Linked DNA regions of Rattus norvegicus. The protein of the gene in region 1 purifies or fractionates together with the protein of each later gene. This does not show direct contact. Links are inferred from orthologs where the notes say so. Each region holds a gene or a part of one and is shown in the gene's direction. Other genes may lie near its edges.

What was found.
Region 2: the proteins of Rab1a (region 1) and Gdi1 purify together in Homo sapiens (affinity purification with mass spectrometry; 7 studies listed by BioGRID and IntAct, counting the BioPlex papers as one, with this or other methods). This does not show direct contact. The link is inferred for Rattus norvegicus from reciprocal best matches to the Homo sapiens genes RAB1A and GDI1.

The regions. Positions count from the first base shown.
Region 1 is NC_086032.1:98,618,499-98,630,794, forward strand, and holds the start of Rab1a (ras-related protein Rab-1A), read left to right. Parts: upstream 1-5,178; 5' UTR 5,179-5,355; coding exon 5,356-5,378; intron 5,379-12,296. UniProt on the Homo sapiens protein: The small GTPases Rab are key regulators of intracellular membrane trafficking, from the formation of transport vesicles to their fusion with membranes.
Region 2 is NC_086039.1:157,232,882-157,244,999, forward strand, and holds the start of Gdi1 (rab GDP dissociation inhibitor alpha), read left to right. Parts: upstream 1-6,018; 5' UTR 6,019-6,142; coding exon 6,143-6,187; intron 6,188-7,355; coding exon 7,356-7,463; intron 7,464-7,622; coding exon 7,623-7,722; intron 7,723-7,859; coding exon 7,860-7,994; intron 7,995-8,405; coding exon 8,406-8,604; intron 8,605-8,858; coding exon 8,859-8,990; intron 8,991-9,947; coding exon 9,948-10,047; intron 10,048-10,854; coding exon 10,855-11,026; intron 11,027-11,302; coding exon 11,303-11,447; intron 11,448-11,549; coding exon 11,550-11,604; intron 11,605-11,698; coding exon 11,699-11,851; 3' UTR 11,852-12,118. Other genes in the region: Atp6ap1 (V-type proton ATPase subunit S1 precursor), read left to right, coding at 934-1,008, 1,264-1,457, 2,014-2,054, 2,634-2,719, 3,058-3,296, 3,974-4,021, 4,110-4,338, 4,552-4,761. UniProt on the Homo sapiens protein: Regulates the GDP/GTP exchange reaction of most Rab proteins by inhibiting the dissociation of GDP from them, and the subsequent binding of GTP to them. Promotes the dissociation of GDP-bound Rab proteins from the membrane and inhibits their activation.

The DNA.
Region 1 (12,296 bases):
TTAACGTTTTAACCAAATCTCGTTTAGTTACTGCAGTGGTGGTGGTGTGTGGTCTATATGTACATATCACAGCACACCTGTCAGGGGTCAACTCTGAGGGGCCAAATCTTGCTTTCCACCTTTAGATGGTTTGGGGAACAAACTCAGGTTGTCAGGCCTTCACGGCAAGTGCCATTACCCGTGAGCCATCTTGCTGATCCTAATTCATAGTTTTTGGATGTATAGGACCGTGAGTTCTTTTGGTGATGTTGGGACTCAAAGCCAAGTGACCTGGGTTTTGACAAGTATGTACGGTTATATACCTAGCCGTCATTACAATGAAGATACAGGCTATTTCCCTCAAACCAAAGACATGCATCCTTTGCGTCTCTTTTCAGACGATCCCTTCCTCCCACTCCTCATGCCTAGCAGTCTCTAAAGGCCATATCCTTTACGTGTATTTTTGTACTTTTCCCCAGAGGCCTTGTCTGTATTCTCAGAATTTTCTAACTGAATGGTAATCTCCTTAAAGACAAAGAGTTGTAGTCATTCAATTTTATATTGTTTAAGCATATATTTCAAGTACAGCTGGGTGGGCATGGTAGGGCATGCTAGAAATCACAGAACACGGAGCTCAGGGGAGTTCGAAGCTATCCTCGACTACACAGTGAATTTGAGGCCAGCCTGAGTTCCATGAGAACCTATCTCAAAATAGCAAAGCACACCTACCCTTCCTTCTCTCCCCAAACCCAGATCAAGGTCTACATACATTTATTATGTACCGGGTCATATACACCTGAAAAAGAGTGGAAACAAGAGAGAAAAGGGAGAGAGGAAAGGGGGGACAGCCAGAAGGGCTGGAGAGGATCAGCAGGTGAAGGTGCTTGCTGCCAGGACTGGTGTTCCGAGCTAAATCTCAGAAGCCGTCTGTTGAGACAGTGAAGCCCTGAGACTTGGTCTCGGCCCTTCTCACATGTGTGCCCTGACAGGTACCTCCGTACACCCACACATTTCTGTCCTCGTGTGTGCCCTGACATGTACACCCCCCACCCCTGTATACCCACACAGGTAAATAAATAAATGATAAATAAATGTGAATGAGGAGGAGGAGGCGGCTCTGGAGAGATAGCTCAGGGGTTAACAGTAATCGCTGCTCTTGCAGATGATGAGAATTCTATCCAAGGACCCTCTGTAACTTTAGCTCCAGGGGATGCAATGCTGTCTTCTGGTCTCCCCTGGGTGCCAGCACACATGTGTGAATACCTACACACAGACACATACACACATATATAAATATAAATCTTTTTTCCTTTTTCCCTTTTAAAGGCAGAGCTACCTAGGAGGGCCTTTCTGCTGTCTCTGTCATGCTGAGACTCAAAGCCAAGCTTCACTCGTGTTGTGTCTGTGCTCAGCTGCAGATCAGACCTCCACCCTCCAGAAAGGCTCTCCCTCAACCTCAGGGCAGTCAGAAGAGCGTGTAGTGTTTCAGTGAATCATTCTGAGATTGTAGGCAAATTCTGTCTTTGAGTGAGTTTCACATGAGCTTAGGTTAGAACTCACTGTGTGGCTCAGACTCTCCTCAGATTCCCACCCATGCACCTGTCTCAGCCTTTCCAGTGCTAGGGTTGCAAACGAGAGCCACCAGTGTTTGGATTGCTTTGAGTTTTTTTTTTTTTTTTTTTTTTTTTTTTTTGGTTCTTTTTTTCCCGGAGCTGGGGACCGAACCCAGGGCCTTGCCCTTCCTAGGCAAGCGCTCTACCACTGAGCTAAATCCCCAACCCCTGCTTTGAGTTTTTAATCTGAACTATTGGCCAAAGGGTAAACATGAAATATAATAAGTTCGCACCAGCAAAATTCGTTACCTACCGGTAACGTTTGGGGGTTGGGGAGATGGCTTGGTGGGTAAAGTGTTGCATATGCACTTTACCGGAGGACCCTTCGTCCCATGTGAAAGCCGGTGATACACATCTTATGCACTTGTGCTGGAGCATAGATGGAAGGATCCAGGAGCTCAATGGCCAACTGGAGATCGAGCTCCAGGTTCAGTGAGAGACCTGGTCTCAGAAAGCAAGGTGGAGAGTGGCAGAGGAAGGAAGGCATGTGCGGTTGACCTTTAGCCTTTATACAGGGACACATGGTCACACGTAATGCTGGCAGACACATATATATGCCTACATAAGAAATGGGGGGAGGAGAGGGAGAGAGGGAGGAAGAAAGAGATTATTTTAAGATACATCTAAGAGTTGGGAGTAGTGGCACAGGAACTTGATCCCAACACTTGGAAGGCAGAAACAGCTGGAGCTCTGTGAGTTCAAGGCCAGTGTGGTCAGGGAGCAGGACAGCCAGAGCCACACAGTGAGATCCTGTCTGGGAAGGCAGGAAGTATACTATTATTATTGTTATTGTTATTGTTATTATTATTATTATTTCTTTTTTTGAATGTTTTACCTGTATGAATGTATGTATGTATGTACACCACCTAGAGGCCAGGAAAAGTGCTTTACTATAAAACTAGTGTTATAGATGGTTGTGAGCCACCATGTGGTTGCTGGGATTTGAACTCAGGACCTCCGGAAGAGGAGTCAGTGCTCTTGACCACTGAGCCATCTCTCCAGCCCAAGGAACCTTAATATCAATAACACCTATGTTGCAGTAGGATATAGGAAGCTGGCACTCACTAATCCACAGCCATGATGGCTTGGGGGGTTACTAGAAGATGATTTGTTGGGAAGTTAAATAGTTAATGAAAGAAAGTTGAGCAAATTTACCTCTGAGGAGGCAGACAGATAAAAAAAATGGAGTTTTGGTGGTAGCCTCTCTGTATGGTGGTAGTGCACTCTGTAGTGCTTTCTTTCTGAGAGTCTGCTTTCCTTAACCTTCATGCTTAAGCCTATATTAAAGATTTATTTATTTCATGTATGTGGGTACACTGTCGCTGACTTCAGAAGAGGGCATCAGATCCCATTACAGATGGTTGTGAGCCACCATGTGGTTGCTGGGATTTGAACTCAGGACCTCTGGAAGAGCAGTCAGTGCTCTTAACCACTGAGCCATCTCTCCAGCCCTTAAGCCTATATTAAAATACCGCCACTAAAACCCCAGCTTGGGTTGGAGAGATGGCTCATCTGGTGAGGACATTTTTTGTTCTTGTTGAGGACCCATGCTCAGTTCCCAGCATCTATCACACTGTAACTCAAGATTCAGAGTATCAAATGCCCTATTCTGGCTTTTGAGGCCAAGAGGCACATGCATGGAACACATACATACATACATACATACATACATACATACATACATGCAGGCAGGCAAGACATTCATATACATAAAATTAAAATTAAATGATAGATTTGGGGGTGGGTATTGAGACAGAAGTTCACTGTGTAGCTCTGTCCTAGAACTTACTATGTAGAACAGGCTGGCCTCAAACTCACAGAGAAGCACCTGTCTCTGCCTCCCAAGGGCAGGAATGAAAGGCATTGCTTCACTCTGTCTGGCTTAAATGATAAATCACAGAAAAAAAAAAACAACAATAACAACAAGATCTTTGCTTGAAAAATTGAGTTTGGGGACACTTCGGAGTTTTTATTCTGTGAAATGATAGGAGGACATATCTAAACATGTGTGGTGCTTCATTCATCCGTCTAGGGTTATTTCAGAAGTTAACACAGAAAAGAGCCATATAGGATGGGCATGATGGCCCCAGCACTCAGGAGGCAGAGGCTAGTGAACCTCTGAGTTTGAGGCTGGCCTGGTCTATAGAGGGAGTTCCAGGACAGCCAGGGCTACACAGAGAAACCCTGTCTCAAAATACCAAAAACCACAACGATAACAAAAAAAACCAAAACCCCCAAAACCTATCTATGTATGGTCTGATGAGGCTGTCAAGTCACATGGAGGAAGTCCAGAGGGATGTGTAAAATATACTGAGTATATGGTTAGAGATGAGAACAGCCTCTTTTGCTTATTTTTGTGTCACTGAAATTCAGAAATTAAAAGTAAATCCGCAGTTGGAGATAATATTCTTGCTTAGAACAAGTTGGAAGATAAACTTTGGACAGTGTATTATATTATGCCCTTTGGAATAAATAACCCAAGATAATGTGTTAAAGTTTAGTGGAGATTTAAATTCCTGAGCTGATTAAAGTTAAGGTCTGAAAAATGTATTAATATTAGTTCTGGAGTCCAGAATGAGTTTCCTGGCTTAAAAAGACACTTATTATTACCCAATGTTACAGACGGACACAGAATTTAACTAATAAAAAACAAACAGCAGCAGCACCAACAGCAAAACAAACAAACAACCCCCAAAACTTAACAAACCAACCCAACCCCAAAAACCAATTCAACTTTAAGGCCTCAAGTAGAAAGACTAGGTTAAGGTTCATTTTAGCCTGAGTCTCAAAAGCACAATGCAGAGCCTTCAAAGGTTGGGAGGTCTAGATGGAGGAGCAGTTTCAGACAGGTAAATCTGATTGCGTGTGCAAATGGACGGGGGCAGAAGAGAGACTGGAGCAGGGTCCATTTGCAGCTATTTCAACATCAAGTTGCTAGAGTAAAACGGTAAAAACAAAAAAAAAAAATCAGAAAAGGAGTCGGGTGAGTGTGAAAGCCCAAGGCTACACAGGCCACCTGACTTTCCTTTTGTCCTTAGAGCAGCCCCAGACTCTGATGGGGTTGGCCACTGCGTTCTTGCCAGAGCAGAACTCGTCAAGTTGTCCCCACCCCGCCTCATTCGCGTCCCAGCGTTCCTGGGAGCCCCCTCCCCCTCGGCTGCGGCACCTCCCTCCGCCCGGTTCCTTCCTCCTCCCCCTCCCCGTGGGGCACTGACTCGCCCTGCTGCCACGTCTCACTGATGACATCAACACAGTCCGCTCGACCTTAGCCAATCCGCTAGGGGGAGTCCGAGCGAAGTCCTAGCCAGCAGGCCAGCGGGGAGGGGAGCAGGAAGGGCGGGGTGTGGGGGTGAGGGAATCGGGACGGGGCGGGCGACAAGCTCGCAAGGGCGCATGCGTAGAGGACGTGGGGCCTAGTGGGAAGCCGAGTGCAGGCTGCCCTCGGCCTCGTCAGGCTGCCCAGCGCGCGGAGTGCTCACGACTCTCTTTCCCAGCGTGCCCCGCGACGCTGCCGCCCTCTGGGCCGCGACAGGCCCCTTGGCCTAGGCTTCCCCAGTTCCTGGTTCGCCGGCGGCCATTTTGGGTGGAAGCGATCACTGAGTGGCGGCGGCTGCTGATTGTGTTCTAAGGGTCGGAGTGGGGTCGACGTTTGCTCTACCGGAACAGCTTAGCTCATTCCTCCCCTTCCTTTACCCGTGGCGCGGAGGCTTGGGGCGGCGGCTGCGTCAGCAAGGGCGGTGGCGGCGGCGGCAGCTGCAGTGACATGTCCAGCATGAATCCCGAATAGTGAGTGCAGGAGAGCCGGGGCGGGCCGGGGTGAGGGCGTCCAGCTGGGGTGAGGGCCGCCTGGAGGCTCGCTGCGCAGCACTCGGAAGGTCGACCAGGCGAACGAGACGGAGCAGCCCGAGGGCCCCATTGTCTGATGGCCGAGGGCCGCAGCGGGGAGGGGTCGGGCCTCCGGGCCGGGTCCGGGGCGCAGCCGGCGGGGAGCTAGGTGCCGCGGCCGGGCGTTGGGGAGTGGGCCTCGGACAGCGGCCAGGAAGGGCGCGTCCCTGGAGGCAGTGACGGCTGGAGGAGGACTTGTTTTTAAGGGGAGGTAGGTGGGAGAGTTCTGCTAGAGGGCACTGTCAGACCCTGCGCCGGCTCTGCGGAGCTGTCAGCGTCGACAGGGAGGAAACCAGCTTTACTTGTAAATCCTGAGCTTGTTAGAGCTCTCTCACGGTTGGATTTCTGGTAATATGGATGCTTCTTGGGACTGCGTGGGCTTGAGGGGAATGAGGAGATGGCGAGAAGCTATTTACAATGTTTAGTTTCCTTTAGGGCTTGTCTCCTGGAAGAGTTGTGTAAGAATTGTGAGATGTGACCCTTCTAAAATCCTGAACATTTGTGAAATTTTTGTTTTAGGGGGACACATGAGTCTCTCAGTCACCTTTTGTTTCCGGTAGGTTAACAACATCAACAAAACTGAACTAAAAATAAACTAGAAACGTCTTCCTGGCACCACCAAATTAAAGTACAAGTTTGCAGACAATTTTGAAAAGAAACTAATGGGGCCTTTGATGATAGAACTGTAGGTTTTAGATTACCTGGTTGAATGCCTGTAGATAGGGAATGAGGTTCCATGACGTGTCATGAAAAGTTAATGCATTCCTTTTTCTTGCTTACTCAAGAAGTCACTCTAGCAGATGTGACACACCTGGCACCTTCATGGGAACTGCTCTTGTCTTTTCTTGGATAGATATTGTTGGGCTCTCTCTTTGACCCTAAAATTCTCCTCTGGCTTCCATATATGAAAATAACTCGAAGAGATGTCATTTTTATTATACTTTAGTGTCAGAAATCTTTAAGGGAGAGGGATTTTTTTGTTTGTTTGTTTTGTTTTTTTTTTTTAATAAGAGAAATCAATACTGCCCTAAAACCTGGGCTTATTTGTTGCTTTGGTCAGTCCCCGCTAAGTGTGTCCCCAGGAAAGGTCCATCCATCAGCTCAGCTGACTTGTCATGTGTGTGTCACATGGCTCTTGCAAAAGACATTCTAAGTTCAAGTTTTCTAAGGCTGGTTTAATACTGAAATGTGCTTTTTCATTTGGGTTAAGCAGAAGTCTTGGTATCTTGGTAGAACTTTACATACTTTATTTTTATTGTGACACATGTGATTGCAGGTGCACAGGTGCCACTTTGTTTGCGGCAGAGGTCGGGACAGATTTTGGGAGCTTGTTCTTTCTCCCTTTGTGGGTGGCTTCAGGGAACTGAACTCAGATAAGCACTTTATCCACAGAGCTCTGTGGTTGACCCAGGCTTTTGTATTTCTTTAAGAAGTTGGGAACAGTTCATATGGTGACACACTTACTGTGGTGGCAGCCCCTCTCCCAGCACAAAATCAGTTTAGGGAATGAGGTTCCATGACATGTCATGAAAAGTTATTGGGATTCCTAGTTAGATTTTAGGGAAACAGAGAAGAACATGGATTTGTTAGGAAGGTTTCTAATTTCTATTTGAGAAGATTCCTATATTTGTTACATATGTATTTAAATATTTTTATTCTTCTCAAATTTCCTAATGCTATGACCCTTCAATACAATTCATGTTGGGGTGACCCCTACCCATGGCATTTTCATGTCTATTTCATAACGGTAATATTGCTATCGTTATGAATCATAATGTAAATATCTGATAACGCAGGATATCTGGTATGTGACTCCTGTGAAAGGGTCCTTTGACCCCCATCAAAGGAGTTGCCACTCACAGGTTGAGGACTGCTGGGTTAGAGACATCCCCTGGCACTGGAGTTAGAGTACTTGTGACCAGCTGATGTGGGTGCTGGGAATGGAGTTAGAGTTTTCTCCAAGAAGAGAAATATTCTTCACTACTAAGCGATCTCTCCAGCCCTTGTTATATGTATCTTTTAAAAAGATTTATTTATTTATTTTATGTACCGCATTCTTATATTTTTAAATACTGTAAGAGATTTAACTATAAATGACCAAAGTTAGATGTTACTTAGACTATTTCTCTTTTTATAAAGTAGTACAAGAGACAGTCATTTTTACTACCTATTAAGGTAGTAGTGTGTCCATGAGTATGTAAAAAGGACAGCTATCCAGATCATGTTGTAAACAGTATAAATCATTTTAAAGCAAGCTAGGACTTAGGAGTGTAAACCTTAACCTCAAGGGGCCTGTAACATAACATAACATACAAAATAGGTTCTATACATGTCAGATACTAGGAGATAGAGCATGCAGATGTGCAGCATGGGTCAGGACAGTGTGACTTTAGGGCAGAGTCACTTGTTCTGGTTGGCTGTTGGGTTTTGGAAGACTGTTCTAGAAGAGACATGTAAGGTAGTTCAGCAGAGGAAGCCATCTGCCACCTTTATGAGTTCCATCCTTGGGACCTATATGGTGGAAGGAGAGAACTGGCACCTGCAGGTTGTTCTTTTCATGTGTGTCCCTCCCCCAATAATCTAAACAAATAATTTTAGAGAGCAAAACGTGCTCTCTAAAAAAGGAGAGTTATTAGCACAGAAGTGAGGCAGGGGAGATTTTTCTGGAGGAAATGGAAGAGGAATGGCTAATAAATAGCAAGGCTAATAACTCTTTTTGTGTTTTGTGATGTCGTCCTGGCTCTCCTGAAACACCCTTTGTAAATGAGGCTGACTTTGTATTTGCAGCAGTCTTCCTGTTTCTGCCTCCCAAGTGCTGACATTACAGATAGGAGTCACCGTGCCCTGAATGGACAGTGCTTTAGTCATTCTTCCTGAGTTCTCAAGCATGCCAGTATCTGGCTTATATTTGCATTCTAGACTGTGTAGTAAATTGACCAGGAGTTTGAGGAAAGGATTTATGAAACTTGCTCAAGATTAGAGGTGATGATAGATATTTTATTACTATTTTAAGTGCAAGCATATATTAACTAAGAGTAATGTCTGAGGCACTTGCATTTAACTGACAGTGTGATGTGAACTGTGTGGTAAAGTATATGGAAAGGGCCAAAACTTTTTTTTTTTTTTTCTGGAGATCTGGAAGACAGCTTTGACATTTTACACTTATTGTATGTTTGGAGAGGGGGCACGTGACTGCTACAGTGAATGGGTGGAGGTCAGAGGGCAGCTTGCAGGATCAGTTCTCTCTGGCTACTATGCAGGTTCTGGGGTGGTAACTGTCTTTAGTCATGGCTATAGGCACTGAGATATGCTGCTGGCCCAAGATTTGATTTTCAGAGCTAGGGAGTGAAGCAGGCAGTGATTATTCCAACACACTGATTGAAGATGCTAAACAGAGCCAGGAGTGGAGGAGCCTGTGCTCTGAGCACTTGAGGCAGGGCAGGAGGCTCACTGAAGGTTCAAGACCACCCCAGTCTATATTAGAGAATTCTAGACTGTCAACGGTGACATAGGGATTTTGTCTCAAAAGAGAGATAGACAGATATAAATACAGACTTGATACTAATTAACCTCATACAAGAAGTAGTTGTCATAATCTATTAGCTTCTAGGGAAGTTTTATTTATTTTTTATCATGAGACAAATTATCAAGGATCCCAACCTGGCCTCAAGCTCACTTTATACCTGAGGATGACCTTCAGCTTCTGATCTTCTGTCTCTGCCTGCTGAGTGCTGAGATTTGAATCTATAGCTTTGCGTGTTAAAGCTATCCAGCATCCTACAGCTGAGCTCTAACACAGACCTTAAGCTTTGTGTGTGCATGTGTGTTCTCATGTATGTATGAGTGTTGTATGTATGAGCATGTATGAGTGTTGGGTGTATGTGTACGAATGCCTGCATGCATTTGGTGGTCAAAGGCCAACCTTGGGTTTCATTCCTTAGGAGCTTTCCATTTAATTTTTACCTTTTATTATTTTCATTTTGTGTTTTTGAGTGTTTCCCCCTTATTGTGTACATGCAGTGTCCAAGAGGTCAGAAGAGGCAGTCATCTGAATTACAGATTGTTTGGGCTTGCATGTGGTTGCTGGGAACCACACTAGGATCTTCTGGAAGGACAACCAGTGTTCTTAACCAGTGAGCCACTTGTCCAGCCCCTGTTTATTTATTTTCTTGAGACAAGGTTTCTCACTGGGATATGGGGTTCACAGAAATGGCTAGGTTGGCCAGCCAGCTAGCGTCAGGGATCTTCCTTTGTCTACTTCCCTGGTGCTGAGATGATAACAGGTATGGGACACCACACCAGTTTTGTTTTGTTTTGTTTTTTAAATGAAGTGGATGCTTTCTAACTCTGGTCCCCATGCTTGTCAGACACACAAGCATCTCCTAAGCCACCAAAGTTTAAAGAATTTTTAATAGAGCCAGGTGGTGGCGCAAGACTTTAATCCCAGTGCTTGAAAAATTTATATTTATTACTCTGTGTGTGTGTGTGTGTGTGTAAGACAGTCTGTGAGAGTAAGTTCATGTGGGCCCTAAGGATTGAGCTGAAGTCTCATGATTGTTTATTAGTTAAGGTGACAAAGTAGCACGGCACGGTGGCTCATCATATGATTCCAGTACTTGGGAGGTTGAAGCAGGAGGATTGCCTGAGGTTTGAGGCCAGGCTGGCCTACATAGTGAATTTTTTTTTTTTTTTTTTTTTTGGTTCTTTTTTTTTCGGAGCTGGGGACCGAACCCAGGGCCTTGCGCTTCCTAGGTAAGCGCTCTACCACTGAGCTAAATCCCCAGCCCCCATAGTGAATTTAAAAAGCTAAACCAAACCAAACCTCACTGTGTAGATGGGAATGACTGAATACCCATTTCCCAGATGCTCTGATTAAAAGTGAGCAACCTTCTCTGGGGTTGGGCAGAGCAGTTTAATGACAGTGATCTTTTCTTCCTATTCCTCCTTCACTTTAAAATGAGACTCCAGATTTCCTGAAAATGTTAGCAGTCTTTTACACTTTTATGCTTTTCTGAAATAGAGCTGTTTCAATTAAGTGCCTTTCCCTTTTAAGTGTTTGATAATAAAATTGGACTAATCAGTTATCTGTCTGACAGTGTATTAATATCATTCCTGGCTTTCATGTAGTTTTCACTGCTTTTTACTGTTTTGTTTGTGAGTGTGTATGTGGCTGGTAGTCAAATCCAGTACTTGCACATGCCAGGCAGATGGCCCCTGTCATTCTCTCCTCCTCCTTGTAGAACAATTGGAAGAAAGGTGATTTGGGTCCTTACTGTGAGGAATGTGATTTTAGTGTCCGAAGCATCATGTCTGTGGTTGTCAGGTAGACAGGCAGCTTTTGGAACCTTTACTAAATGTTCAGGCTGCAAATCTCAGTACCCAGGAGAGTCAGGAGTTTAAAGCCAGTCTTGATTCCAGGGCAGCTTGGCCTACAGATTTGTCTCAGAGAAAAGTCGGAAAGGACAGAAAACCAAAACCTGAGTGCCATTATGTGAGCTATTTTAGATGTGACTTACTTTTTATTACCCTGTCTGAATTTCACATTGGAGTGTCTTAGTAAGAGACATTGGTAAATTGCTCCCTCTGCCTTTTAAAGAGAAAGGAGTGGTCTGCCTGTTGTTTTCCTGTAGAAGTTGGGGCTGAAATTGCTGCTTTGGTACTATAATATGATTAATTTTTTTTAAAAATTGATATTTATGTTTATGGGTGTTTTTCCTTCTTATTTGTCTGCACCTAATGGATGCCTGGTGTCAGAAGAGCTAGAAAAGGGACTTGAATTCCCTGGAATTGGAATTATGGGAATTGAACCTGGATCCTCTGGAACATTCTGCATCTAGTGCTCTTAAATGCTGGGCTATCTCTTCAGCACCCCTAGAATATAATTTAAAGGAAAAAACCCTGCTTTTTGTTGCCAACATTGATTGAATTTATGGTCTCCAAATGCATCCCCCCAACCCTAAAATTTTTAAATTTAAGCCAGATAACATTTAGATAAACATCTACTTTAAAATTCATGGAAAATTTTTTATCACACACACACACACACACACACACACTTTTAAAAAGCCTTATTTTTATTTCATGTGTATTGGTACATGCATGTCTGTAGGAAGGTGTCATCTGCCGAAGCTGGAGTTAGAGGTGGTGGTGACTTCCTGTGGGTGCTGTGACTTGAACTGAGCCCTCTGTGAGAGTGCAGGCAGTGAGGCATGCCCAGCCCGACACACGTGCTTTCAGACTGGGGGCTTTACTAGACCGTTTTCCATGCTAGGCATATACTCTGCCACTGAACTTTTCTCTTTTGTATTTCAACACTTGGTCAAAAGGGGAGTTCAGGTTGGCCTTGAACTCGCTCTGTAGCTGGGTAGGCCTTGAACTTGTGATACTCCTGTTTTAGCTTTCCAGTTAACTTGAGATTAAATGCCTGCCACCAGACTCCAACAGAGAGATTTAAAAACAGAGAGAGGCTGTTTTGAGTAGGGACTAATGACATGTTCCTGTACTCCTAGAGTAGGCAGGGGAACCTTGGGAGTCTTAGGTACACAGTTCTGACAAGAGGGTTTGTGAAGTTTACATGGTGGTCCATGCCTGTAATTGTAGGCTACTGAGAAGGCTAAGGTAGAATTGTAAATTCCAGTTCTAAACTTAAAATGCAGAGATGGCCGCAGTCATGGAATACGACATCTATAGTTGGGTCTAGGTGGCCTTTGATCTCTTAAATACTGTGTCTGTCTTGCTTTTCTCTTTCTTGTCTATTGCATGTTTTTTATTGGGACCTTAGAAGTTGTGAAGTCTTTCTGAGAGTGAAAAGCCATGGAA
Region 2 (12,118 bases), on another chromosome or scaffold:
GATTAGGCAGGGTCTTTGGCATCTTATTGGCAGGAAGGAATCATATGGCTTTTGAAGATGGGCATTACTGGCAGGAGAAAATGTAAAGGCCCTTGGCAAGGGAGTGCTCTTACTGAGTTCTAGGGGGTGCTTGTGTGACTGGAGCCTAGTATGTGATTGAAAGGTTAGGAGATGATCTGCTAGGTCACATAGAGATGGAGGAAATGCCACAAGAGTTTCGGTTGGTCTAAAGGTAGGAAAGCCTTGCGTACGTAGCACAGAATCTAGAAGAGGAGGCTAGGAAAGGAGGCTGGGATTATGTATACTAAACACAATGAGTTTAGGGAAGCTGGTTAAGACTGCCTCTGGGCCTAACTGGGAGAAGCCAGAGGAAGCTAGCTGGGGGTTGAGGGAAGGAGGAATAAAACACTTTTAGACAGTAGAGAGAAGGGCATGAGATTGGCATTACCAAGGTCCTGAGAGATCAGAAGTCTGCTTCCTCCATTGTGTTCCAATATCTTCCTCTCTCCTAACTCCCACCAACAATGGTAGGGCAAGGACTTCTTCCTTTGAAAAGGATCCTGCCCAGACTGTATAGAAGTTCATTGGCTCTGCCTTCTACTTCCCTCTTAGGAGACATGCAGTAAATATCCTTTGTTGTCCTCTTCCTCTTCTCTAACTTCCCTCTTCCTCCCCAGCTCTTCTTGCTGTCTGACCCTTGTTTTGTAGGTTATCAAAACTAGCTGTCCATAAATCTCCCAACCCTATGGCTACTTTCTATATCTTGTCGTCATGCCATCAGAGTGCTGGGGAGAAAGAATAAGTCTTCCACTCACTCACACCACAAGTCCTGATGGTTCACTCTTTTGTTATCCCTGAGAATTCGCCCCTTCATGTTCTGGCCCCTTGTTCTTTGTGTAGCCTCCTAAGACATCTCTTCTGCTTCCCTTTTAGCTAAGCATTGAGGATTTCACAGCATACGGTGGTGTGTTTGGAAATAAACAGGACAGTGCCTTTTCTAACCTGGAGGTAAGGGTCTACTCACAGCCAAAGGAAAGATAATACATTCTGTGCTCTCTCTCCCAGAGAGAGGGCCAGAGGCTTTGAGGGTAGAGGGCTTGGGATGTGACTGTCTAGGCCTGGAGATGTGGGACATTTACTTTCTGACCTGTTGTGAAATCTAATCCCTATGGGGTGTGGCTTTCCAGGTGAGGCTTTAAGAGATTATTATAAGGTCCACTGATCCCTGGCTCACTTTGCCTTCCACGTCTTCCTTACCATCAGAATGCCCTGGACTTGGCCCCCTCCTCACTGGTACTTCCTGCTGTGGACTGGTATGCAATCAGCACTCTGACCACCTACCTACAGGAGAAGCTTGGGGCTAGTCCCTTGCATGTGGATCTAGCTACCCTAAAGGAGCTGAAGCTCAATGCCAGCCTTCCTGCCCTGCTGCTCATCCGTCTGCCCTACACAGCCAGGTACAGCCTAGGTGGCAAGGCCTCCAGCCCCTAGCCTTGCACCTCAGATAGGGGTAAGATCCTGAGCTCTGTTGGTGGCAGAGTTCAGTCAAAGGTGACAGTATCCCTATTCACCACCTTAAGACTCTTACAGCAAGTTCCTTGTATGCCAAGAAGAGGTTGTGACTTAAAAGTATCCACCACTGAGTTAGGTCTATTGGGCCTCCAGAGATGAGACTGACATTGTTCCTACTTAGAGAAAACTTCTTCACCAACAATGCCCACTTTATAGGACTGTGGACATACTTACAAAGACCAGAAAAGGGAATGGGATTCCAGGCAGGGGTACTGAAGCAAATAGAGCTGCGGAGGTGGGGATAGCTGCTGTTGAGCTAAGCCTCTGCGTAACTGTCAGAGCAACAGGTGAAGGCCACAGGCTTAGTAAGTGGGACTACTGGGAAGGGAGATGCTGGAAGGGCTAAGAAAAAAGTAGTGAGTTTCAGAGAACTGTTCCAGGCAAGCTGTTTGTATTTGAGAACAGAGCAACCTGTGGGCCTCTCACTTTTTTTATCCATAGCTCCGGTCTGATGGCGCCCAGGGAGGTCCTTACAGGTAATGGTAAGTATGTTACTGGATGATTTGTGTCCCCATTTTGCCCTTGGGCCAGGAAAACAGCTGGTTTCTCCTCACTGCAAGGATGCCCTCCTGTTTCTCAGAGTGGTTGACTGCTTGCATATATGTTCTTCTATAGCCAGCACCACCTGACAGAGGTGTCCAAGTACCTTATGATCCCCTGTGCAAGAGCCCCAAAATCTAGTTTTTGCACAAGTCTAATGAGTCTCTCTGTATTTAATAGACAAGTAACATGCAAAAACAATTAGGAGGGTTTATCTTTGTGGTAAAGAACAGTTCATGTGCATGGAAAGGGAGTTAGATATGGAGTTCTCTATATTACTATAAGTTTTGTTTTACTTAGGTTAAGTTTGCCATCAGAGAGCCAATGACAGAGACCATAGTTGTCTCCAGAGAGACTGGCAGAGTGTGTAGAAGGAGAAATAGCTGTTTTAGAGGTCCTCAGTGGAAACTAACATCACTGAATTCTCATAGTCTAGAAGGTCTCTGAAGCAGACAATGGGTAGTATTTCTTTAAGCAAGCTACCCAATGACTTGGCTCTCTGTTCTCTTGTCACTCTTCAGATGAGGTCATCGGACAGGTACTGAGCACACTTGAGTCTGAAGATGTTCCTTACACCGCGGCTCTTACTGCAGTCCGCCCTTCTAGAGTATGTATTCTTCTAGTGGTGGCCCTGGGGGATAGGGGTGAGAGGCATTGTGGTGAGTGTGACTGGCGATGGAGGGGTATGCCATAGACAGGATCTCTCAGGAGCCTCCAGTTTGGGGGATTAATGGACAGAGGATTGCTTCCTCCATCCATAGTGTCTTTTTTCCAATTTGTTTATGCCACTTGGACAGTGTGATTATTAGTTTAGGGAGATGGAATATCAGGGCTAGGGACTTTCAGATGGTATACAGGGTACCCAGTGTGGAAGGAATACCAATCCAGTGGATTAGGTTTTGTTTTTAGGGCTGTTGAGAGAAGGCTTGTTGAATGTTTCTGCAGGTGGCCCGTGATGTAGCCATGGTGGCTGGGGGTCTAGGTCGCCAGCTGCTTCAGACTCAGGTGGCATCACCTGCGATCCATCCTCCTGTGAGTTACAATGACACTGCCCCAAGGATCCTGTTTTGGGCACAAAACTTCTCTGTGGCATACAAAGACGAATGGAAAGACTTGACCTCCCTCACCTTTGGTGTGGAGAATCTTAACTTGACCGGCTCCTTCTGGAATGACTCCTTTGCCATGTAAGGGAAAAAAAGGTTATCCTGTCATATATGGTTTTCCTGCTACTGTGAGCCCAGTACAGGACAAGGATGTGGGATGGATGTGTGTGTGTGTGTGTGTGTGTGTGTAGGTATATAGGTATATATGTTTGGGGTGAGAAAGGTCTTTGTGTGGTGTGTTCACCAAGGAGATGGATATCACAGTATCCCAGGTGATGTTGCTGGGATGTTACTGGAGAGGGATCCTCTTAGGAGTTTGGCTTTCTCATGCTTTTATGTCTTGGTTGTTGGGTCCTGAACACCACACAATCCTTTGGGACCCTGGCCCTTCTTTGAACCCAACCCCTTGGACTGCATGTAGGCAAATACCAGACCAACTGTTAAAACCAGTTCTAGGTCTTCTACCCTTGAAATCTCAGCTGGCAGCTAAATGATCCCAAGAAGGAGGCCTACAGGACTCAGGAAAACCAGAGTAAGGAATCCTAAGCTGGAGATGTAAGACCTAATTGTGCTCCAGCTGCTCCTAATTTGGTTATGACTGGAGCCTTAGTTTTCCCATATGGTAAATGGGGACACTGTATTGACAGCTGGCTGGCTATAAGGATGGATCTAGGGTTGCTTAGGTTGGAGCCAACCTGATCAGGATCTTCTTAAGGTTCTTCTAGAGCCTGACAGTACTCCTGTGCCTTGTCCCATAGGCTTTCACTGACCTATGAACCACTCTTTGGTGCAACAGTGACATTCAAGTAAGTTCTGTTGGCTGAAGTTTGGCTGGGCTGGTATGTCTTCACTCTATTTTGTTCATCTGACATCTCTGCAACCCCCACCTCCCAGGTTCATTCTGGCTAGTCGCTTCTACCCAGTATCTGCCCGATATTGGTTTACCATGGAACGACTTGAAATCCACAGCAATGGCTCGGTTGCCCATTTCAATGTTTCCCAAGTCACAGGACCTAGTATCTATTCTTTCCACTGTGAGTACGTCAGCAGTCTGAGCAAGAAAGGCAGTCTCCTTGTGACCAACGTGCCCTCCCTCTGGCAGATGACTCTTCATAACTTCCAGGTATTGAAAGGGTGATGGGCCCCCAAGCTGGTGGCAATAAGGGGCGGGAAAAAGGGCCCAGAGAATCTCTGCATGGTTTGAGCATGTAGCCGAGAGAGTTCCATCCTTGTATAGTCTCTGAAGGTATAACTATTCATTAATTCCAGAATCCCAGCACTGAACTGTTTGTAGAACCTTGTGGTCCCATCTGATCCATGTCTATGTATCTCCTAGATCCAAGCCTTCAATGTGACTGGTGAACAGTTCTCCTATGCTAGCGACTGTGCTGGCTTCTTCTCTCCGGGCATCTGGATGGGGCTGCTCACCACCCTCTTCATGCTTTTCATATTCACCTATGGTCTGCACATGATACTCAGCCTAAAGACCATGGATCGCTTTGATGACCACAAGGGCCCCACCATCACTTTGACCCAGATTGTGTGACATATACCAGAGAGGGATTGAGGGAGTATTGGTGTCTAGGTTTCCATTTTGTGACACAGTGGATGGAAAGGTTTGTCCTCTTCCTACTATAGCATGAACCCTACATACACCACCCTCAGCCTGTCTTGCTTCCTCTTTCCTGGACAGGGACTTCCCTGAGGCTATCCCCCACTTCTACCAACAAAGTGTATTATTCTTCATAGATAAATCTTCCAGGCTTCATCAAGAGGGGAAGGGACCTTAATTCTAGGGTGCCCCCCTTTCCCTTTCTCCTTATTTATTCTTGCCCCTCTGCTATTATTTCGTGCTGTTTATAGTGCTTTTGTGTAGTAAATACTCACTCCCCAAGCTTTATGGAGCTTTCCAGCAATAGCCATGAACTTGAGGTCCCTTGAATTTGAGAGGTGTGGAAAGGCTAGTTAACTGTCCAGCTTAGCCTTTATGGGTTTTTTTTTTTTTTTGGCGGGTGGGGGTTAAGAATGAGCGGTACACTGGGGTTTATTTCTGTGACCTGAGAAGGAAGAAATCACCACGAGAACTGGAGAACAAAGTGTACTCATTGGGTTTCTGGTTTGTTCTCACAAGGATTGCCTGTCAAGAAGCCAGAAGTATGTGTGTGTGTGTGTGGGGGGGGTGTGCTCTGTTGTTTCATTCCTAATAAAATAAAGACGTGTTGCCATGTGTTGGGCTCCAGCCACTTATTTCTACACTGGACAAGTAGATTTGTTCTTGACTGAAGGGAAGAACTGCTCAGATGTAGTCCTGTCAGGCAAGAAATGAGAGAGGAAGGGTGGGAGGGTCTTCAGTAAGCCGATACTCTTAACAAGCCGGAGAAGAGGCTTGTTACTTTTCCTCGCCATGGGAGGAATCCTGACAATGGCAGCTCTCCCAGCGCTAGGGCCAGCTGCAACAACACACTGCAGGGCTTCCATGCCTTTCTGTTTCTCCCAGGGGCGGTACGGGAGCGCGCGGGGCGGGGCGGGGCGCGCGCAGCTCCCGCGCAAGGATCCTTCGCTAGACGTAGCACCTGCCGCCGGCCTGCCCCGCCCCGTATTTCTCTGGGCTCACGGAGAGCCGCGTTAACCCCTGCAATCATTCTGGTGCTGGGACCCAGGTGCCAGAACCCCTCCTAGAAAACAAGCGAGGAAATGGTGGCTTTGGTTGGGCGTGGCTTGGCCAGAGGAGGGAGAGGGACTCATTGACGCTGCGTAGGGATCGGGAGACGACCGATAGACGCCATCTTTGGGTCAGTGCGGCGGCAGCGGCAGCGGCAGCAGCAGCAGCAGCAGCAGCAACAGCAACAGTAGAGGCATTGGTAGCAGCTGCTGTGGTGAAGGAGGAGGAGGAGAAGAAGAGCGGGCGCTGGTACCAAGGCCTGACCATGGATGAGGAATACGATGTGATTGTGCTGGGGACAGGTCTTACCGTAAGTGCCACCTCAGGCGCTCGTAGCCCTGCATCATGCCATCCCCCACCCCGCAGTGATGCAGAGTCCGGGTTACCCGACCCATCCTCCCATCATTGCGTTCCTGCCTCCAGCCCTGGAAAAGCCCATGCCCACCCCACTACCTCATCCTAGAGTGTTGATGCCAGTTCGCAATTCTTCGTAGAGGGCCCCACTTTGGCCAGTATTCCAGCACCCTAGATCTTAACCACGGACCCCTCACCTTCCCTATCTGTGTCACTGAGGTGGAAAACTCACCCCCCTCACACACACTGGACCCGTTGCATCCAACCCCACCCTTCGCCTGCACTCATCACCTGCTCAAGTAATTGATTAGCATCTTTTACCATCTTGTGATCACACTAGGGCATGGAGTATGAAGATAAAGATATGGGGGCTTTTCAAGGGTGGGCCCTCATCCTGCCTCTCTGCCTTTTGGGAGGGATAGGGAACCCATGGAATGTTCCAGAAACAGCGGGAGGGAGGGAGGGAGGGAGTGTGTGTGTGTGTGTGTGTGTGTGTGTGTGTGTGTGTGTGGTGTGTAGGGAGGGGGTGTTAGTGACCGCTTTCCCTCTACCCCAATTCGGTTTCCCATGGAGACCTCAGAGTGAATATATATCCTCAGCCTTTGTCCTTGGGTTAGTGACAGTGACTGGTGAGAGTGTCCGGTGTCCCCGTCGCCCCCCCCCCCCCCCGCACAAATCTTTTTTCGTTTGAACCCTGAGCCTAGAGCAGTGGATGCACAGCCAGAAGAGAGTCAGGGGCTCCTGCCCTTAAAAGGAGGAGCAGGGTGGAGCCTGGGATTTCAAGGACTTGGCCTTATCTTTCAAAGAGCCTTTGAATTGTTTCTTCTGTAGACTCATTGTCTTGTCTTTTTGTGAGCTCAGAGCAGGTAGATACTTTTGGCTTGTTGATGCTAGAAGAACTGTAAGCTCTGTCCCCCAAGCCTCCTTTAATGCTCTAGTAGTTTACTCAGCAGGGTTATAAAGGAAACATCATATGAAGCTATCTTCCCCTCCCCAGTTTTAGGCACTGGAAAGAGGTAGGACTTTGCATTATGAATTTTGTAGTGGGCATGAGGCAGGGACAAATCAGAGATGCTCATTGGAGGGTAGATGAGGTATAGCTGCCAATGCCACTCTTTCCCCAGGAATGCATCCTGTCTGGCATCATGTCTGTGAATGGAAAGAAGGTGTTGCACATGGACCGAAACCCCTACTATGGGGGTGAGAGCTCTTCTATCACACCCCTTGAGGAGGTAAGATTTCTTATTCTCAGACTTGGGCTTAGACCCAGACCCCTTGTTAGTCCCCCACATAGGTGTAAAGGGGGGAAGTAGTTCTCAGGTCCCAGGCAGGAGAGTGGGGAAGGGAAGCTAGTCCTTGACATTTGTCTTTCTTTCCTGTCCTGCTTACAGCTATATAAGCGCTTTCAGTTGCTGGAAGGGCCCCCTGAATCAATGGGCCGGGGCCGAGACTGGAATGTTGACTTGATCCCCAAATTCCTCATGGCCAATGGTGAGGGAGATTAAAAAGGGCGATGGGGGTGGTGAGTAGGAAGATGGGGTATGGGGTGTTCAATCTCCAGAATATGATCAGTCACACTACTGAGAGTTTTTTGAAGGAAAACACACCCTTACTCCCTTTGGACACAGGTCAGCTGGTAAAGATGCTACTGTATACAGAAGTGACTCGTTATCTGGACTTCAAGGTGGTAGAGGGCAGCTTTGTATACAAAGGGGGCAAGATCTACAAAGTGCCATCTACTGAGACTGAGGCCTTGGCTTCTAGTGAGTATGAGTCTCCTTAAGCAGAAGAATGGGGCTGGAGGGGACAAACTGTTTTCAGGACAGTTGGGCAAAAGGCTCCTCTTTGCATAAACCTAATCTTAGCTCCGTGTAGTCCTAGAGGCCCCTTGCTTTATAGTTTCTTTATTGGACAGTGCTACCAATCTTGGCAAGTTGCCAGAAAGGAAGTTCACAGAAGAGGATTCTTTTTTGTCAAAGGGCCTACTTGCCCTAAGTGGAGCTGGGAGGGTCTCTTCCTACAAATAGGAAAATTGAGACCAAGAAAGGTGGAGCAGTGTTGCATAAGAGAGTTCTGGTGGGAGCCAAGGCACCAATTTTCCTGGCCTGCTCTGTTAGAAAGAGGAGCTCTATGTCCGAGTAATGCAAATGATCTTTTCAATACCTTTCTTTCAGATCTGATGGGCATGTTTGAAAAACGACGCTTCCGAAAATTTTTGGTGTTTGTGGCAAACTTTGATGAGAATGACCCCAAAACCTTTGAGGGTGTTGACCCGCAGACCACCAGCATGCGTGATGTCTACCGGAAGTTTGACCTGGGCCAAGATGTCATTGATTTCACTGGCCATGCCCTGGCGCTCTACCGCACTGATGAGTGAGGGGAAAGCTGGCTGGTGATGGGAGCCCCTTGTCTGGCTCACACCCTCTCCACACCTGCCTATTGTACCTACTGCCCATCCTGCATGTCACTTGTACTCAGCTCCAGGCTCACCTGTTCCATTTCCATCCCTCTCCATTTGACCCACATCTTTGCCAGGTCACAAAGGGTGGTGGGAAGGCTGGCTGGTGTCTTTGTAAATGAACAAGGGTGCTGCTATCAAAGCATATTCCCTGGTTCTTTTTCCGTAGTTACCTGGATCAGCCATGTCTTGAGACTATTAACCGCATCAAGTTGTACAGTGAGTCCCTGGCCCGGTATGGCAAGAGCCCATATTTGTACCCACTCTATGGCCTGGGTGAGCTGCCTCAGGGCTTTGCCAGGTGAGGATCTGTCTTTTTCAGCTAGCATTACTGGTAAGACAAGGCCAAGAATGGAAATTACCTTGAATATTTTTGTGGCATCTCCTACTTTCCCATCTAATTTTCATGTATATTACTGTATCCCTGGGTAATGGGGGCATAGCCCTAGTGCATTAAAGTGCAGAGTAGAGGTTGGAGAGATGGCTCAGCAGATAAGAGCACTTGTTTACACCAAGGACCCGGGTTCAATTCCAATACCAATATACATGGTAGTTCACAACCATCTATAATTCCAGTTTTAGGGAATTCATAACCTTCATCTGGCCTTCATAAGCACCAGGCATGCATGTGGTGTACAGATATACACGTAAACAAAACACACACATGTGTGTATGTGTGTGTGTGTATATATATATATAATTTTAAAAGTAGGTGGAAATACAAAGTAAAGAAGTAGGTCACCATGAACATAGCTTCCCCCAGCTCTTGGTAGTACCAGGACTAAGTCTAGGACCCCGGAACCTTGTGTCTGGGCTTCCCTGGAGTTTGAATCTCTTACAGAGAGTTCTTTATTCTTGACTCCTAGGCTGTTTCTTGGTTTGTTTTTGTTTTGTTTTGTTTTGTTTTTTTGTTTTTGTTTTTTTTTTCGGGGCTGGGGACCGAACCCAGGGCCTTGCGCTTCCTAGGCAAGCGCTCTACCACTGAGCCTAATCCCCAACCCCTCCTGGGCTGTTTCTATGTGGAGCTACTTCTTCATGCTACCTTCTGTTGACCCTTTGCAGAACAATATGTACAGAAACACCAGAGAGGAAGGAATATGTCAGTATGGGCCCTAAGTTTATGGGAGGGACACCTGAAACAGTTGGAGTTAAACTCTGTATACCTGTGTTCTCTACCCCACTGGTGGGGTGAGGAGGGTACAGTAGAATTGGTCCCCACATTTCTGAGAAGACTTCCCCATCATTTTTCTTACTACAGATTGAGTGCCATCTATGGGGGAACATACATGCTGAACAAACCAGTGGATGACATCATCATGGAAAATGGCAAGGTGGTGGGTGTAAAATCTGAGGGAGAGGTAAGCCTGCCCTGTGCATTTGTATTACCATGGTTTGGGTAAGATTTGGTCTTTTTCAGAGCTATGTTCTTAGGGAACCTTATTACTTCTTAACCCTGAGAACCTTATAGCTAAAGCCTGGGTGGTCAATAAAACTCTACATAGTTATTCCTGTTGGCAAGAAATATCCTTCAAACTACAAGGTGTAGTGGCACACAACTGTATTCCTAGTACTTGGGAGGCCAAGGCAGATGGATCTAAATTAATCAAGAGGTATCCTTCAGAAGTCACATACTTTGTATTCCTGAATGTATTCTTTTGGAAAGGGTGTCCTGTATCCCAGGCTGGCCTCAAATAGTGTATATAACTGAAGATGAACTTTCAATCCTTGTGCTTCCACCTTCTTGATGCCGAATTACAGGTGTGTGTCAAGATACCTGGTTTATGCATTGCTGGGAATCTAACCCGGGGCTTTATGCATGATAGGCAAGCACTCTACCAACTGAGATAGTATGCCTATCCCTCAACCCCCAACTATCCTTCAGCCTTGGGTGCTGAGTTTTGGGCCAAACACTCTCAAATAAAAAACTTTTTTTTCTGGCAACAGAAAAAAAAGTTTTTGTGATCATTGTGTTTCAGCAATAGGGTTATCTAGCCCTGTATGTGAGGACTGATCTCTCTGAGCTTCAAGGAAAGGGTTATGTACTACATACAGGAGGGACAGTGATGACAGCTCAGAGCTGTCTGGCTTTACTTTTGGCTCAGCTTAACACTACCTGGGACAAGGGAATCATCCAACAGGTGCAAAATCTTCTGCTACCTTCACAGGTGGCCCGCTGCAAGCAGCTGATCTGTGATCCCAGCTACATCCCAGACCGTGTGCGAAAGGCTGGCCAGGTTATTCGCATCATCTGCATCCTCAGCCACCCCATCAAGAATACCAATGATGCCAATTCCTGCCAAATTATCATCCCTCAGAATCAGGTCAACAGGAAGTCAGGTAGGCCAGGCTGTAAGGGACTCCCTTCTGTTGTTATGCCTCTCTTCTCACAAGAAATCTTGGGGATTCTTGTGACATTTTGTTACAGAATATATCTGGGGATTGGATGGCCAGGGCACTTACTTTCTTCATGAGAATGACAGTTTGGATGCTGTTTACATGTTTGGTTGAGGGCAAGGGGCTTGTGGTCCAGATATCTGTCTAGCCTGTAGGAACTACCTTTTTGTGTGGCTATTTCCTCTGGTACATGTTAACCAAGTGGCTTCCTGTGGTCAGACATCTATGTGTGCATGATCTCCTATGCACACAACGTGGCCGCACAAGGCAAATACATCGCCATTGCCAGCACCACCGTAGAGACTGCAGAACCAGAAAAGGAGGTTGAGCCTGCATTGGAGCTGTTGGAACCTATTGACCAAAAGTGAGAGGCTGAGCCAAACTTGATGGGGAGGCTGGGGACTAGGAATGGGCAAGTCCCATTATAAGACTTTTCCCTTCTTCTTTTCTTCCATTTACCCCTCAGGTTTGTGGCTATCAGTGATTTATATGAGCCCATTGATGACGGTTCAGAGAGTCAGGTAAAAAGGCTGTCCCTGTCAGTCCTGGTTCTTGCTGTCTACCCAAGATCCTCTGCCTGACTTCTGTGAATCCTGGGGTTCTGCCTATTTACAGGTGTTCTGTTCCTGCTCCTATGATGCTACCACACACTTTGAGACAACCTGCAATGACATCAAAGATATCTACAAACGCATGGCTGGTTCTGCCTTTGATTTTGAGAACATGAAGCGCAAACAGAATGATGTCTTTGGAGAAGCCGATCAGTGATTGCTGACTCCCCTCCTCCAGCCCCTGTTCCCCTCTCCCCAACTTGTGTGTCCTTCTCTAGGGCAGGGGAGATGGTATGGCTGGGCATCCCTGTTTCCAGCATCTTCTGCTTCCCCCCACCACATTCCAATCACCCACCTTAATTGATTTGATTCACTGACCATATCCTTAACCTTAGTGATGGTTTGGGAGATGGGAGTTGGATAGTATCCTCTTTCTTGATCTGTCCTTGTTCTATGGAAAGTGGAAGTGTGTGTGTGTGTGTGT